Linked DNA regions of Tamandua tetradactyla. The main gene of each other region encodes a partner of the protein of the gene in region 2 in a complex. Links are inferred from orthologs where the notes say so. Each region holds a gene or a part of one and is shown on either strand. Other genes may lie near its edges.

What was found. Proteins that work in one complex are often made in the same cells at the same time.
Region 1: the proteins of RIMS2 (region 2) and UNC13A are in contact, whole or in part, in a crystal structure (PDB 2CJS), measured with the Rattus norvegicus proteins. The link is inferred for Tamandua tetradactyla from reciprocal best matches to the Homo sapiens genes RIMS2 and UNC13A. Residues at the interface, in XP_063118965.1 of Rattus norvegicus: Asp102, Gly103, Cys104, Ser109, Gln112, Val123, Leu125, Ser127, Asn128, Lys129, Val134, Met135, Trp136; in NP_074052.2 of Rattus norvegicus: Tyr23, Ile36, Trp65, Leu69, Ile70, Trp71, Asp72, Thr73, Met74.

What each region holds. Positions count from the first base shown.
Region 1 is NC_135337.1:96,494,191-96,501,778, forward strand, and holds the start of UNC13A (protein unc-13 homolog A), read left to right. Parts: upstream 1-4,544; 5' UTR 4,545-4,618; coding exon 4,619-4,640; intron 4,641-7,588. UniProt on the Homo sapiens protein: Plays a role in vesicle maturation during exocytosis as a target of the diacylglycerol second messenger pathway.
Region 2 is NC_135332.1:148,155,699-148,162,855, forward strand, and holds the start of RIMS2 (regulating synaptic membrane exocytosis protein 2), read left to right. Parts: upstream 1-4,146; 5' UTR 4,147-4,434; coding exon 4,435-4,610; intron 4,611-7,157. UniProt on the Homo sapiens protein: Rab effector involved in exocytosis. May act as scaffold protein. Plays a role in dendrite formation by melanocytes.

The DNA of each region.
Region 1 (7,588 bases), on a different chromosome or scaffold from region 2:
CAGCGGCGTGCAGAGAAGAGGAGGGCACAGCACCATGAGGGGCCACGCCGGTGCCAGGGTTTTGCTTTTGACAGATACACTCTGCTGATGTGAGATACTAACTAAGGACGAGCGGGTGAAGTGGAGACAGGAACTCCCTGTGCCATTTTACAGCTCTCCTGCATTTTTAACAATTTTCCAAAATAAATAGTTCCCTAAAAAATGAAGAGTTTCTGTTCAGGAAATAATACCATAAATAGAGAAGCCACAAAACTGGAGAGTTTACAACACATGAAACCAGCAAAATATTAGTATCTAAAGTGTGTAAAGAATGCTTCCAAATCACTGAGACAAATGACCAACGTTTAAAAAATGCACACAAATCTTGGACAGTTATTTCACTGACAATCACATAAAAAGCTCAACCTCACTAAGAATCAGAGAGAAAAAGAGACACCCCACCCTATGACACAATTCCAAGTGTGGCGCGCTCTGGAGCAGCCGGGAGCTCAGGTGTGCTGTGTATGCATCTGCAGGGTCGCCAGGGTCAGCGATCTGGGGGTCACCGCAGAGGCCAGTGACGCACGTGCCCTCCGGCCACCTCCCTGTGCTGCAGACACAGCTGAGAATGCTCGCTAACATTTGTAACAAAAGCCAAACTAAAAACAACCCCAGTGTCCACCAATGGGAATTTGCACAGCAGAATATTATACAGCCGTGAAAAAGGAGCAAAGCCCAGGCACCTGCAGCAACTCCATGAACATCAGCAGAACAACCTGAGCAAGCAAACAGAAGAGCGTGCAGTTACAAACAATGAACATTTGATTCCAGTGACGTAAGGCTCGGAAGTTTGCAAAGTTAAACCATGTGTCATGAAATGACAAACTCGGTAAAACGATAAGGACAAGCAGGGCAATGAAAAACACAACTTGGAGCAGTTTTTCCTTCAGGGGGAGGGTGGTGAGATTTCCCAGAAGCACACTGCGACGGAAATCTTCCTTACCCAATCCTGGAACGACTGCTGCCTCTCCCTCCCTACAAATACCTAATTGATATTTAATAAATGCTTTAGAGACCTTCCAAGTAACACTCTATGTTATCAGTTTAGAATTATCATAGCTACTGAATCAGTGGGGTTTAGTTCTCACCACTTGAATTTTAAGGAAGATGAACTTAAGTACATTGCAAACCACTAATTTTTACCACAGCAAATATAATTATAACTCAAAATATATTCTGCCTGTGTTTTAAAGAATGCTTAACAGGTCAATATGATTCTGTGCTATTACTGGTCCTATGTCTTACATACAGCAGATATCTCAGAAAACTTCTCATGACCAAGAACTCAAACCAAATGACATAAACCATTTTCTTCAATTCTTACACTGTCATTTATTTTTTAGAGGAGCAGGTAAGAAATTTATTAGATACACATGTAAGAGGACACATGGGCACTGTCACAAGTAAGGAAAGATGGAGGGCAAGAGGCCCTTACACTGCGACTTTAAACAAACTTTAGATGATGATACAGAAGCCGCAGTATCTGACCACAGACAGGGTGGTGACCCTTTACCTGGAGGAAAAATCCCAGTGACTGACAGCAATATTTTTCCAGGTACAAAGTATATAAACGAAGCCCAGATGAGGCAAACAAAAAGTCAAAAACTGGTAGACATGCAAGGATCTGAATGAACCTGTGGGACATTTGGTGAGGTAAAATAAGCCAGAAACAAAAAAACAATTATTTTACGGTCTCATTTAGAAAATGCTTATAAAAAAACAGGGGCCTAGATTGTAAGCTCTCATAGCAGTCACATTTAGTCCAGAGTGGTAATTATTATTTCTGGATTTTGAGAGGTTGTTGTATATATGTATAAACTGGTATTCAGAGATAAGAATGAAGCCAACCAGGTAAGATAATTCAGAATACAGGGGTAAGGAAAACATTGTCTATATTTTATAGCCACACCTACTCTTTGAGACCAAAGGAAGAAAGGATTATTTTGTCCAGAATCTAAATGTTCTGTAGCACATAATCTAACTCAACCTGTGTAGATAGATCATTTAAACAATTCAGACACATGGGGCCCAGTATAAGAATGAGGGCTTTTAATCCTGTATAGCTCAATGTAATGCCTGGAAACATCTTAGAGGATACTAACCAGATAATCAAAAAGTGTTAGCAAAGTCCCCTGAGGGAGGGGAGAAAGACTATGAAACTATTAAACTTTACTATCAGGGAATCCCCGATACCGTGTCAAGCTTTAGGGACACCCAAATCAATAGGCCATGCCCTAAATCACGAGGCTCACCCTTATGAAGCTTGTGTAGGTAGTGGAGAAGCTTAGACTACCTATAGGATGCGTAAGAGTTACTTCTGGAGGACCTCTGTTGCTGCTCAGATGTGGCCTCAGTCTCTCTAAGCCTAACTCTGCAAGTGAAATCAGTGCCCTCCCCCTACGTGGGACATGACATCCAGGGGTGAAAGTCTCCCTGGCGGCATAGGAGATGACTTCCAGGGATGAATCCAGACCTGGTACTGTGGGATCAACAATTCCATCCTGACCAAAAGGGGGAAAAGAAGTGTATTTAATAAAGTATCAGTGGCAGACAGAGTTCAAATAGAGTCGAGAGGCTACTCTGGAGGTTGCTCTTACACAAGCTTCAGGTAGACCTTGCTACCTATTATAACCTGCCAACCCCCAACCAGGACCATTCCAGCCAATCCTAAAGAACACCTAGGGCATTATATGAGATTCTAGAAAGATTCCATGCTCTAGGGTAACTTTCCAGATGCCTACAACCTCCAGATGGGTCCCTGGACCAGACAAGTCCTGAAACCTAGCCCAGCCTCTCCAGAACATCAGACAGTTCCATCTCCCTACCCCATAGTATGGACCGCCTCTTCCAACATGAAAAAGTCAAAATGGGCAGAGCCCAAACACCCCTAAAGAGAGGGATGGAAAGATCGAAGGTGATAGTGGAGTTATACAGAGAAGGTCAGGTTTAACAAACTAATATGCTACTGAGTCATTGTATTGATGTTTCTTTTAGTCTCCAGTGTCTTAGAGCAGCTAGAAGTAAAACCTAAAATTGTGGAATTGTAACCCATGCCAAACCCTGAAATCTGCTCTACAATTAATTGTCATGAGTGCTTTGAAATTTATTGCTTTTTGTATATATGTTTTTCCACAAAAAGTCATTGGTGGGTGGTGCAGTGGTCGCTCAGTGGCAGAATTCTCATCTGCCATGCTGGAGACCCAGGTTTGAATTCCAGAGCCTGCCCATGCTAAAAAAAACAAAACAAAACAAAAGTCGATTGTGATGATAAACCATATTAATTCCTTCTAGCCTCCTATATTCTGGAGCAGCTAGAAGGAAAAATCTGAGAGGATAGTATGGTAGCCTGTGACAAACTCTGGGGTCTGTCCTACAATTTAAAAAGTTAAAAAAAAAAAAAAAAACTTGATAGAGTTGTAAATGTATTTAAGGTATCTGAAAAAAAATAGGAGTTAAAAAACAACGTCCAAGGTCGCGCTTTTGAACACTAGCTGCATGGGCCACCATCTCTGTGCACACTTCGCCCCTTATGAAGCTGCTTCCTGTTTGCTGGGGAGACGCTATCTCTGCTCCTGCTCTATACTGGGATACTAGCCCCTGGAGCCACCCAACTGGATTGAGGTGGGGAGAGGTGGGCAGAGCTGAGCTGGGGTCAGGGCAGGACCTGAGCAAGGGATCTGGGCTTGGGGAGTCCAAAAAGCAGGGTAGAGACTCCTTTGGGGCAAGTCAGGGAACGCTTCCTAGTGGAGGGGATTCTATTGCACTGGGCATTGCTGGATGAATAGGAGTTTGCCCGTGTTTTAGTTTCCCAGCTGCTAAAATAAATACCATACAAGGGTATGTTGTTGGCACAGGGTTTCAGAGCCTAGATTTGCTTCCTTCAGGGGCCGGTATCTTCTGGCTGCGTCCATCTTTCTGGTCCCTCCGTTTTTCTACCACATGGTGATGCATATGTCGGTTTCTTCTCCTTTCCCTTCTGGGTTCTGTGGACTTCCAGCCTCTAGCTGTTTCCTATGGGTCCTCTCTGCCTGAATTTCACTGGGTTTATAAAGGACCCCAGGAATAATCCAGATTAAAGCCCGCCCTGTGGAACAGCTTCAAGAGATCTTATTTACAACAGGTCCACACCCACCACGATGTGGGCACAGGTCCGCACTGGTTCACGGTTCACTCCACCTCGGGGGTCACACAAGGGGCGAGGGTGGGCGCCCCTGTGAGCCAGCCACAACTGGGAGAGAGCGAGGCAGCGACGCGGGGCCCCGAGTTCGCGGAGACAGAGCCACCGAGGCCAGGGAGAGAGAGAGAAATTGAGGCAGCCGGAGGAGGACAGACTGTCGGGGACAGGACGCCCCCCGCACCGCGCCGGGCCCTTTAACGCCCCCCCCCAGCCCGGCGGCCCTCCCCCCCCCCGTCCCCGCCCCCGCCCGCGTCGGCGCCGCGTCGGGAGCTGTCCGCGCCCCGGTGCTGAATCAAGATGGCCGGCGGCGGCCAGGTCCCGGCGGTGCCCCTGCCCAGCGGCAGCTGAGCCCGCCCCGAACCCCGCGCCCCAGCCGGCCCCGGCCGCCGCGACCCCGGAGCCATGTCTCTGCTGTGCGTTGGAGGTAGGAGGCGCGGCTGGGGCGGCGGCCCGCGTGGACGCGGACTGACTCCGGAGGCGCAGCCCGTAGAGAGGCGTGGGCTCGCGGGGTCCTGGTGGCCGCAGCCGGGGTTCGTGTGGCCACGGCTCAACGCGGAGGGCCGTGTGGACGCGGGCTGGGACCTGGGCTCCATCCGGTCTACACTCGGGGTCTGTGTAGACCGGGCTGTTAGGGAGTCGGCGTGGAGGGGGCAGGGTCGGGAGCTCCGGGGCATCCCGCGGGCGGCCGGGGGGTCCGGGCTGGGCGGGGCGCGGGGCCTCGGGATGCGGACGCGGCACACAGCCCGGTGTGGACGCGGGAGGGGTTCCGAGGCTGGGCACCGAAGATTTGGGCACGAGGGGGCTGGGGCATCTGGCAACCGCGCTCTGGGGTCCCCGAGGCCCAGGGTGTCCAGACCCCTCCCGGCGTCCACACCGGGCTGTGGTTCGGGACTGGGGGTGCTTTTCCGGTTAACCCTTTCGCCTCCCGAGGGGCTGCTGGGGCAACGGCCCGTCGCCCGCCCCTCCCCCTTCGCCGTCCCACGCGCAGGGAGCCGACCCCCCGCGGGCAGCGGCCCGGACGCTCCCCCGATCCTCCCTCACCCCCACCCTGCGCGGAGGGGCACAGATGGGGGCAGCTATTTTGGGGCCAGAACGCCATCTGCACCGAGGCCCACGCCCAGGCCTCGTTCCGCGTTGGGGGGCGGGGGGGGGCGGAGAGAGACGCGGAGGGGGTGACCCGCTCCGCCCTGTACTCGGGGGCCGCGGTGGGCGAGAGGCCCGCCCATCACGTGTTGAGGGCCCTCCTGCTGAGAGCTCAGGCTCTGAGAGACCTCTGGCAGCGGGGGGTGGGGGTGGGGTGCGGAGGAGGGGGGCGGGGGGCTGCGGACAGGCACCGGTCTTCCGAGGTCGGAACCTGGGTCTTGAGCGCGGGGCTCCGTCCCCCTTCCCTGCACCCCCTCACAAAGGCAGGGGCAGGGGTGGGGGGTGGGCCCAGCTTGAAACGTCCGGCTACGGGAGACCTTGGGCCGCGGGTGTGTACCGTGGGTTTGGGTGTTGGTGAGCGGAAGCCGCAGCTGTGCCAGGGCCCGGGAACCGCCCCCGGCGGCCCTCCCTCCCCCCCCCCCCCCCCCCCCGCCTGCTCCATTCACAAACCCGGCCCCCCCCAGCCCGCGGTGCCTTCGCGTGTGCAAATCGGGCCGCGCAGGGCCGGTGTGGACGCGGCTGTTCTTAAAGGGACAGAAGCCTCTGTGCTGCCCCCTGCGACTCCTTTCCCAGGCTTGCTCTGGCCGGGAGAGGCTGGGGGTGGGTAGGGGAAGGCGGCAAGATCCAAAGTCAGCGCACCCAGCTCCCAGCGTCCAGGCTCTGGGCAGCCTGTGGGGTTAGGGGGTGGGGGGTGGGGGGTGGGAGGGCCAGAGGCGACTCCCATTCAACCCCACCGTGTAGGCCTGAGGGGACTCCCCTCCTCTGTGTTGCTGAACCGCCAGGCACTTGGGGGTGTGGCTGGGGGGTGTCCCTGGTGGGTGCTCCTGGTGACCCCCCCCTCTGCTGCCCCCCCACCTCCCACCCTCCCATTTGGTCTTCTGAAGGTTCACCTGCTGGAGGCTGGGCAGGAATCTCATCCTGTGACGCAAAGGGAGGCGCTTGGGCTGTGGGGGGGCAGTGGGGGGCCCTGGGAGGGGGGAGCGGGGAAGGGGGTGGGTGGTGCTAGGATCTGTGGATCTGACCAGGAAGGAGTCAGTGGAGTCGGGGGTAAAGGGCTGAGGGTTAGGGGGAGGCGCTATGAAGACCCCTGGGGGAGACCAGGAAGGCAGGGGTGGTCTTGGTGGGGGAGGGGGCGGGAGTGGAGGAGGCCAGATGGTCTGCATGGGCGCTGAGCTCATACTTGGGGGTGAAGACAGCACCTGCCCCCCAGCCAGGACACCTCTTCCCCCCTGCACCGGGCGCCTGCACCTTCACCCCCACAATCCACAGGACACGCGAAGGTGCCACACACAGACTCACATGCCTGGGCTTGCACACGTGTGCACACATGGTCACACACAGGCCTCTGCATGCATGCAGGGTCCATGTATGCATGATGTGTGGGCCCTAACACACCCACCCCTCCCAAGAAACGTGTGTGCACAGCAGCACGCCTGGAGGCTGGACGCACCCCCCACACACACATGCCTGGGTGTGTCAGGAGCTGCTTCCAGGCCTCAGTCAAGCTACGGGCTCACCCACACCACACACTTGGCAGCACACCTGTGTGCACGTGTAGGCAACGAGCAATACACCTGGCATACAACCACGTAAGGCACTCACACCCCAGCACGTGGGTTTCTAGCGAACGCCTACCTGCCAGCCCCCACATTCCTGAGGCCACAGATGCCAGCACCTCCCAGGCAGCCACGCCCCCCACGCATGGCCTCACCTGCAGGCAGCCTCCCTGGACACACACCTGCCTGCCTGGCACCAGCACGCACAGCTCACCCTGTACACACCCGGCTTGTGTTCCCCCCCTGCCCCCCATTTCTCTGCCGTGTCCCGGCAGTGCCCTGAGGCTGTGAAGGCCCCCCAGACCCTTCCCGCATCCATTCCTGTTTATGCCAATGTTCAGGGCACACCTGCTGGCATCCAGCTGCTGGTATCAGCGGGGTGGGGAAGGCACAGGGCTGAGGGGGCAGGGGAGAGGCGGCCACCCCTGCTGTGTCTCAGATGAGGGAGAAACAGTGAGGCGAGGACGTGAGTGCTGAGGCCTGATGCGCCGCAGGCCCAGGGAGGCCGCATGGGGGTGATGGGTGCGGGCCTCAAAGCTCAGCCTCGGGCATCCGGCCCACGAGCCCGCCTTCTGTGGGCCTACCTAGCCTCTGGGCAGCCCAGTTCACAGACAGGGAATGGGGGCTGAGGGAGGCTCAAGAACTTTCCTGGAATTATAGAGCCAGTCGTGGA
Region 2 (7,157 bases):
TGTTTTCTGTAATGAGTGACGCTTAATCTAATCACTGGAAGCCTTTTAAGGAGGATTCAGAAGAGACAGGCTCTTTCTGCTTCGGCTGGCGAGCCTCTCCTGTGGAGTTTGTCCAGACTCTCCATCGGAATTGTTGACTTCACAGCCTGCCCTGCAGATTTTGGACTCTGCATTCCTGTGGTCACGTGAGACACTTTTATAAATTTATATTTGTGAGTGTTCCCTGTTGATTCTGTTTCTCTACAGAACCCTAACTAATATAACCTCCTAATAACTTTAGTAGATTACAAGTAAGTAGCTGTTATTCATCTGAAAAATGAAAGTCACAGATTCACAGGCTTTACTAGCTGACAGGAACTGCAGAAAGGACCTTCATTTTGGGATTAGTTTATGGCTTGTCAGGAAGACCTTGGGAATTCAATGATAAAGGTGTCCAGTTACTTCTAAAGTTAAATGAGAATACTATAGTTTCAACTCAACTTCAAATGTGTTTATACATTTGGGGACATGCCCAAGTGAAATATAATGCAACACAGGATACAGTGAGATGTGTTAAACATAACACTAAATTTGGGGAAAACAAAAAACATCTCCAAGATCCATTATGTGGAAAGATTGAAAGATATCTTTGAAGGAATTTTACTTTCTATAGGTCTTACATGGCAATCTTATGTTGAACTGGGGTGATTGCATTAAAAAGTAGCCCATTTAAAAATTCTGTAATATATATTCTATGTAATATACAAATACTGTGACTAAGTTTTATTTTGGAAAGGTGTGTAAATCAGTGTGGAAGATGATTTTAAGATACTTCCACTTCTAGGGATTCCCTTTAATAGGGAAAATACATCTAGCTGTAGTAAAGACTGTAAAAACAAACGGTACGCCAAGCTCACTCATTTCTCCTGCAGTATTGTAAGAAGTTAGGTGTCTTAATGATACCTGCTCATGCACAATGTATTTCATATGCTGGTACTGTCTCTAGGAACCTGAGAGGCAATGGGGGTGCAGGGAGACACCACCAACTATGTGATTGGTATAAAATAGTGTAGCGTCTAGGGGGTGACTCTCTTCTGTAAAAGAAGCCCTAATTGTCCAATTTGGACAACCACTTTTAAATTCTCATTTTATTTACTCAGAATAATTAAGCTATTTTAGCACATCAAGCCTTTGAGTAGTGTGTGCATTTTAGCTTGTGGTTCTGCTTGAGTTGTTAGTTGGCTGGAGGTGGAAGACAGGGTTATTTCTTCAAATATGGCTCAGAAATAGTTGAATAAGGTAATGTGTTCCATCCATTCTTTTTGCTTATTTCTAGTTCTGCTCTTCTCTCTTTGAAAGGCACAAATAGTGTATTTTAGTGGCACTTCGGGTTTCCCAAGCTAAAATCATAGGTATGTGTATTCACTGGTACCTCTTACTGCATATGAGAGGAAAGTGAATAGTACTGTGAAATTCCAATACTGTAATTTAAAGTAAAAAAAAATATCTGTTATCTCTGGAAGTGTACTTTTTGCTTGTTTTCTACTTCTCAGTTGTGATTTACCCCTCCATTATCTATGTAGTGCACATGTAGCCCTCAACCCTTGCTAGTCATTTGGGGAATGTTGAAGTAAAGCTACAGCCAGGGTCCCAATCCCAGAGATTGGTTCATCTGATCTAGAGTTAGGCCTGGATGGTATTTTAAAAAAGTAATCCAGGTAATTCTAATGTGCAGTCAGGGTTGAAAACCACCATGGTTTCAACTTGGAGTAAAAATATTTAGATTCTAGTTCCAGGTCTACCATTTACTAGCTGTCTTACCTTGGTTCTTAATTTCTCATAGGATGATTGAGGTTGGATTAGTGATTTACAAAGATTTTCTAACTCAATAACAAAATTACATTGGCATTCATCTGCTCTCATCTAGTTTGCAAAGCTCCAAAGAGATGAAAACGGACTTATTTGCATCTTGCAGTCTTGGTTTCATGCAGGTGAATAACAATAATAATAAAAATTGCACTTCAGTTTTCTCTTCTCCTTCTTCCTAATTACAAGGCATGGTAGGAAAGGAAAATATAAATGTAAGCTTAGAAATCATAAGCAACTTCTAGGGCTGCTTGGCCTGTCCCAAGCACTCTTAAATTGGGACCCGTGGTACCCAGGGAGAGCACTTACTACACACCGAGGTAAATATAATACAAACCCCAAAGGCTTTACACTACTCATCAGACCGCAACTGGCCTGGTACTTAGTGTGTGTGGGAGGAGCCCAGCTTCTCCTCCCCAGAGCGTGCTGCCAGTGCCAAGAGGAGGGAGTGATCGCCGGCAATTTGCTTCGTGGCGCGTCTTGCATCGTCTCCCCTCATCCTTTCTCCGGCCTCTCCCTGCCCTGCCCCCACCAGGAGCCGTGTCAGGGCGGCAGAGCCCAGTCGAGAGCAGAAGGCGGCGGCGGTGGTCACTGCGGTTCTCCTGGGGCTGGTTTTCCTTCTACCGGGTCCTCTTTCACTGAACATACATGCTTCGAAAATCAGACTCCGACTCTAACCCTCCTCTCTTCTGCCTTTTTCTCTTTAGGCTAGACTGAGGGTCAAAAGAAGCCAAACAGACAGAAGTCCTCCGCCCAAAAACCGGCTCCTTAGCCTCCCTATGATCCTTCGTTCTTTCACCCTCACAGCCCTCAGTCACCTCCCTTTCTCACACACCTCTCAGACACACTCTGACTCTCCCAGTGTCACCTCTCCACTTCTCCAGGCTCTCTCCAGTACCACTTGCCTTCAGTTTTTCAGAACTTCCTTACTTCCCCGCCCCAGGCCCGCGACGCCACCTGTGCTCAGTACTCATTCACGCACATCTGTCTCCATCTCCCCTCAGATGGGCCCTCACGCCCCCCACCTCCCACCTCTCACCCCCCACCCCCTACCCCAAGCCCTCCTCGACAACCCGCGCCGCCCCCCACACTCTTTTAACTAGGAGCCAGACATCCGGGCGACCCCTGCCCTCCCCATTCCCCCCCCCCCCCTCCCCCAGCTTACACTCTATTTCTCTTTCCGAAACCTTGGGAGCAGCTCCCTCAGGCTCACACTCCGGACCTAACATCCCCAGTAGTTCCCCTCTCCCTCCTACCCCCAATTCCCCACTGATCTCCAGACCTGACACCCGGCCCTCCCCATTTATCTCCCTCCCCAACGTTCATACTCTTTGCCATCTGGGCTTGACGCCGCAGCCACACCCCTCATCCGCATTCCCTCCCTCCTCCCCGCCGCCGCCTCACTCTCTTCCCCTGACTACCAACACCTCGGGCTTCGCTCTTTCACTCACAGTATTCATGCCCCGCCCTAAAAAGCTCGGGCACTTCCTCTCTTCCCCACCTCCCTCCTCCCACCCCACGCCCCTCATTTACGCTCTCCTGACCAACTTCTTCCCGCCCGGCCCCAGCCCAGCTGTCGCGCACCCGAGGGGTGGCCGCCACCCTTGGGGCGCTCATCGTGCCCGGGCCTGGGCTGCTGGGAGGTGACGCGGCCAGAACGGGAGGAGCTGGGGAGGCGGAGGGACTGAGGTGGCGCAGGCGAAGGCACCGAGCCGCGGCGGTGGCGGCGGCGGCAGCTTCTGAGGGCCCCGGGCGGGCGCGTGACAAGGAGGGACCAGCGTCCGATCCTGCTGCCACGCTTCGAAGCGTTTTAGGACCCGAGCGCTGGCAGCCAAGGGGCCCTGGCCCCAGGAACCCTCCGCCGCTAACCCCAGTCTGATCTCCTTCTCTGCTTTCACCTCTCGGCTCCAAACGCTAGTCTCCCGCCCCGCTTCCGTCTCCCGGTAGCTACCTGAGGGGTCCTCCCCCCTGGGGCTGAGGAGTCAGTCCTGTGACGCGCCAGCTGGCGGGACAGCAGAGCTGCTTCTCTGGGAAATTCATCCCTGCTTCCTCACTCCTCCTTGCTCCTTCCTTCGTGCTCCTCGAGCACTCTGCGAATTCCCGGAACTCCCTCCGGGAGCCTGGATCGCAGCCGCCCCTTTCCCTTCAGAGGCGAAGCGCACGGCCCCCCACCCCCGCGGTCAGACACACTAGCGCCCGGCCCGCGCGCCGCCCTCCTGCCCGCTCCCTCCAGTCACCCCACCCTCAGCTGTCCCCGCCACCTTACTCCACCACCCTCCCCCGCCGTTCCGCGCACTCCAGTCTCGGCCCGGCCTCCCGCTCCTCTCTTCCCGGAACCGCTCACTTGCCAGCCCTCGGCTCCCGAGAAGAAGCAACATTTCCCGAAGCGCACTCCTTAGCTCTCTCCTCCCCCCATTTTCTCCTCCCTTCGCTCTTTCTTTCTTGAGGAAGGAGGGCTGTCGCCTCGGATTGAAAGGCCATTAATTTGTATGTGTCCCAGCGCTGGAGGCTGCTCCAGCCACCCGCGCCGGTGCCGCCGCTAGTGGAGTTGCCTCCCTGTTTCCCTAGGGTGGTTTGGCTCCACCAAACATGTCGGCTCCTCTCGGGCCCCGGGGCCGCCAGGCTCCCACCCCTGCAGCCTTTCAGCAGCCTCTGCAGCCCGAGATGCCCGACCTCAGCCACCTCACGGAGGAGGAGAGGAAAATCATCCTGGCAGTCATGGACCGGCAGAAGAAAGAAGAGGAGAAAGAGCAGTCCGTGCTCAAGTAAGGACCTGGCTCCATCTTCCCGCCTCCCACCTGCCCTCCGCCCCTTCGGCCGCTCTCCTGCGGCCGCCAGCGCGCGGTGGATCGCCGCCCTCCCCGCCTGCCGGTAGCGCGGGGACTACGATGGTTGCGGCCGCCTCCGGCCACCCAGGCTGCTTTCTGGGTCTCCGAGCGCGTGGGTGTGTGGGGAGGGAGGGCGCCAAGGCCGGCTTAGGTGAGGATGGCGAGCCTTGGGGCGCTGTAATTTTCCCAGTGCTCTTCTAGCTTTCCTCCCGGGTCAGTTCGGCTCTGGGGCCCCAGTGGGGCCGGGTCTGAATCCAGGCTCCGCGCGTCCCTTCACTCTTCCCCACCGCCTCCGCGCGGAGGCAGTGACTGGGGCAAGGAATCCAATATGGCCGTGCACAGGTGCTTTCTGGCAGGGACCCAGGCGAAGGCGCACCGGCCAGGGGATGGCGGGTGCTGCCGGGGCCTTTAGTCCTGCGCCTTTGGAGGGCCGCTCTATCCCCAATTCAGGGAAGAGCAGATCTGCCCACGGTCGCGACCGGCCAGAGGGTGGTGGCGCGGGCGGGCGAGGGGCCTAAGCTCAGTTGCGTCTCGGGTGGGTGTGCGACCGGCGCCATCTTCCAGCCCCTCCCCTTTGGTGGGTCTAACACCCTGCACTCTGCTGCTCTTCCTGTTTGCAAGTAGTAAATCTGTTTAATCCTGAAGAGACTCCAGGTCCTACCGTTACCTCACTGTGGGATGCTTTGAAGTTCTGCTATATGTGCTCATAGTTTAGGCGCCGTGATTTTGCAGAGAGGCTGGGAGGATTGAAAGCAGCACCCAAGCTTTGGTTTAGCGACGGAGTAACTTCAGCACCTGGGAACTGTCCAGACAAGATGATAAATACCCTTTGAGACACCTTGTCAGTGTAGCAGAGATTTCTTTTAAAGCGTTTGCTTTGAAAGTTCTATGATTATTTGATCTCACAGACACTGTGTGAAAGAGATCGTGCAAAAGATGTGTAACCTCTTTATGTTTTTACAATTCACCTTTTTTTTTTTCACGTGAAATGGGTTCTAAGATAATTTATAGTTTATATGCCGAAGTTGGGACAGTTTTCTTTCTTTTTTTGTTTGCGTGCTTTCCCTCCATATTCTCCACAGGTACACACTATTGAAAGTGTAGAGCTCCTCTGTGAAGGAGCTAACACACTAACCTCTAATCGTTTACATTAAAAAAAATAGGTTGTTGCATCCAGTATTCTTTAATTCATTTATGCAGAAGCAATTCTCTCTATGTCTACATATATATTGTCACATTTTGATGAAATTATTATTTAGGTAATTTATGATAACATAAAATATACGTAGTTCATAGAGAAAAATACTATTTCTGACAAGATATTGAGGAACTAAAAGAGCAAATGCATTCCTGACATTAACCAAAATCATGAAGAACTGATTCTTCAAATCTAATTTCTGGATTTGAATGCCTTTTTGGGGATGTGATTTATTAGTGGGCTTGAGATATGAAAAAAATGAAGTTAAGTAGTCTATTTCAACTAATGGGAGAGTAAAGCATTGTTTTTAAAAGCTTATTGAGCATACTCCTAACACTGCTTAACTTCACTATATGTTCTAACAAGCTCTTGAAGCGTACAGTTTGATGTTTAGATATTTGGATTTATGCTTTTTTATTATAATTGCTAAAAATCAGTGTTAGAATGATGCTCATATAGTTGTATTTTTTACACATAATTAAACATAAAATGTGTTTTTATTTCTTTATGGTATGCTAACTCAGTATTTATTGGCTAGTTTACTAGAGCTCTAAAGCTGTTTATTGTTCTAAATGTTTACCAAGGTTTAAGAATTAAGGTTTTAGAGTATCTATAGTACATTTCTAATATACAGAAATTCAAATGAAGATGAGTATTGAATTAAGAAATAAAATGAACAGTATATTTTATTATAAATTGTTATGAAAGATTTTTTCATGTAGCTACATATGTGTATATTACATCTATATGTAAACATACATAGTGTGCAAATATATTTAATGTTTGTGTATTCATATTTGCATAGTTAAGCAGAAACAACCTTCCCTAACCATGTATTCAGGCAGTTTATACAATACATTTATGAGAGGCCTATTCAGATTTAATTAAAATAAATATTTCAGTTTCTAACTAACTTAATCTTAGAAGGGGACTTACCTCAATATGGCCTATAATTTCAAAATTATTTTTATATATATTTAACAAGAAGGAAGTTAAAGCATTATACACTTGAAATATTAACTTTAAACATTCTATAATATGCTTTTGGCTTTTGTAATAAAATACGAGTAGGCAAGGAAAATGAGATGTGGAATACAGACTTTGTAATAGAATTATAATAGTGAGAGACAAATAGCTTTGAAGAATTTGGCAATTTATTAACAGCATGTAATACATTATTAATATAGGGTATTAAATAACATACAATATATGAGAAAAATAATAGTAATAGCTTTTAATGATTGTAATTTCTCATAAAGCTTTAGGGACTATTTATCTGGTCATGA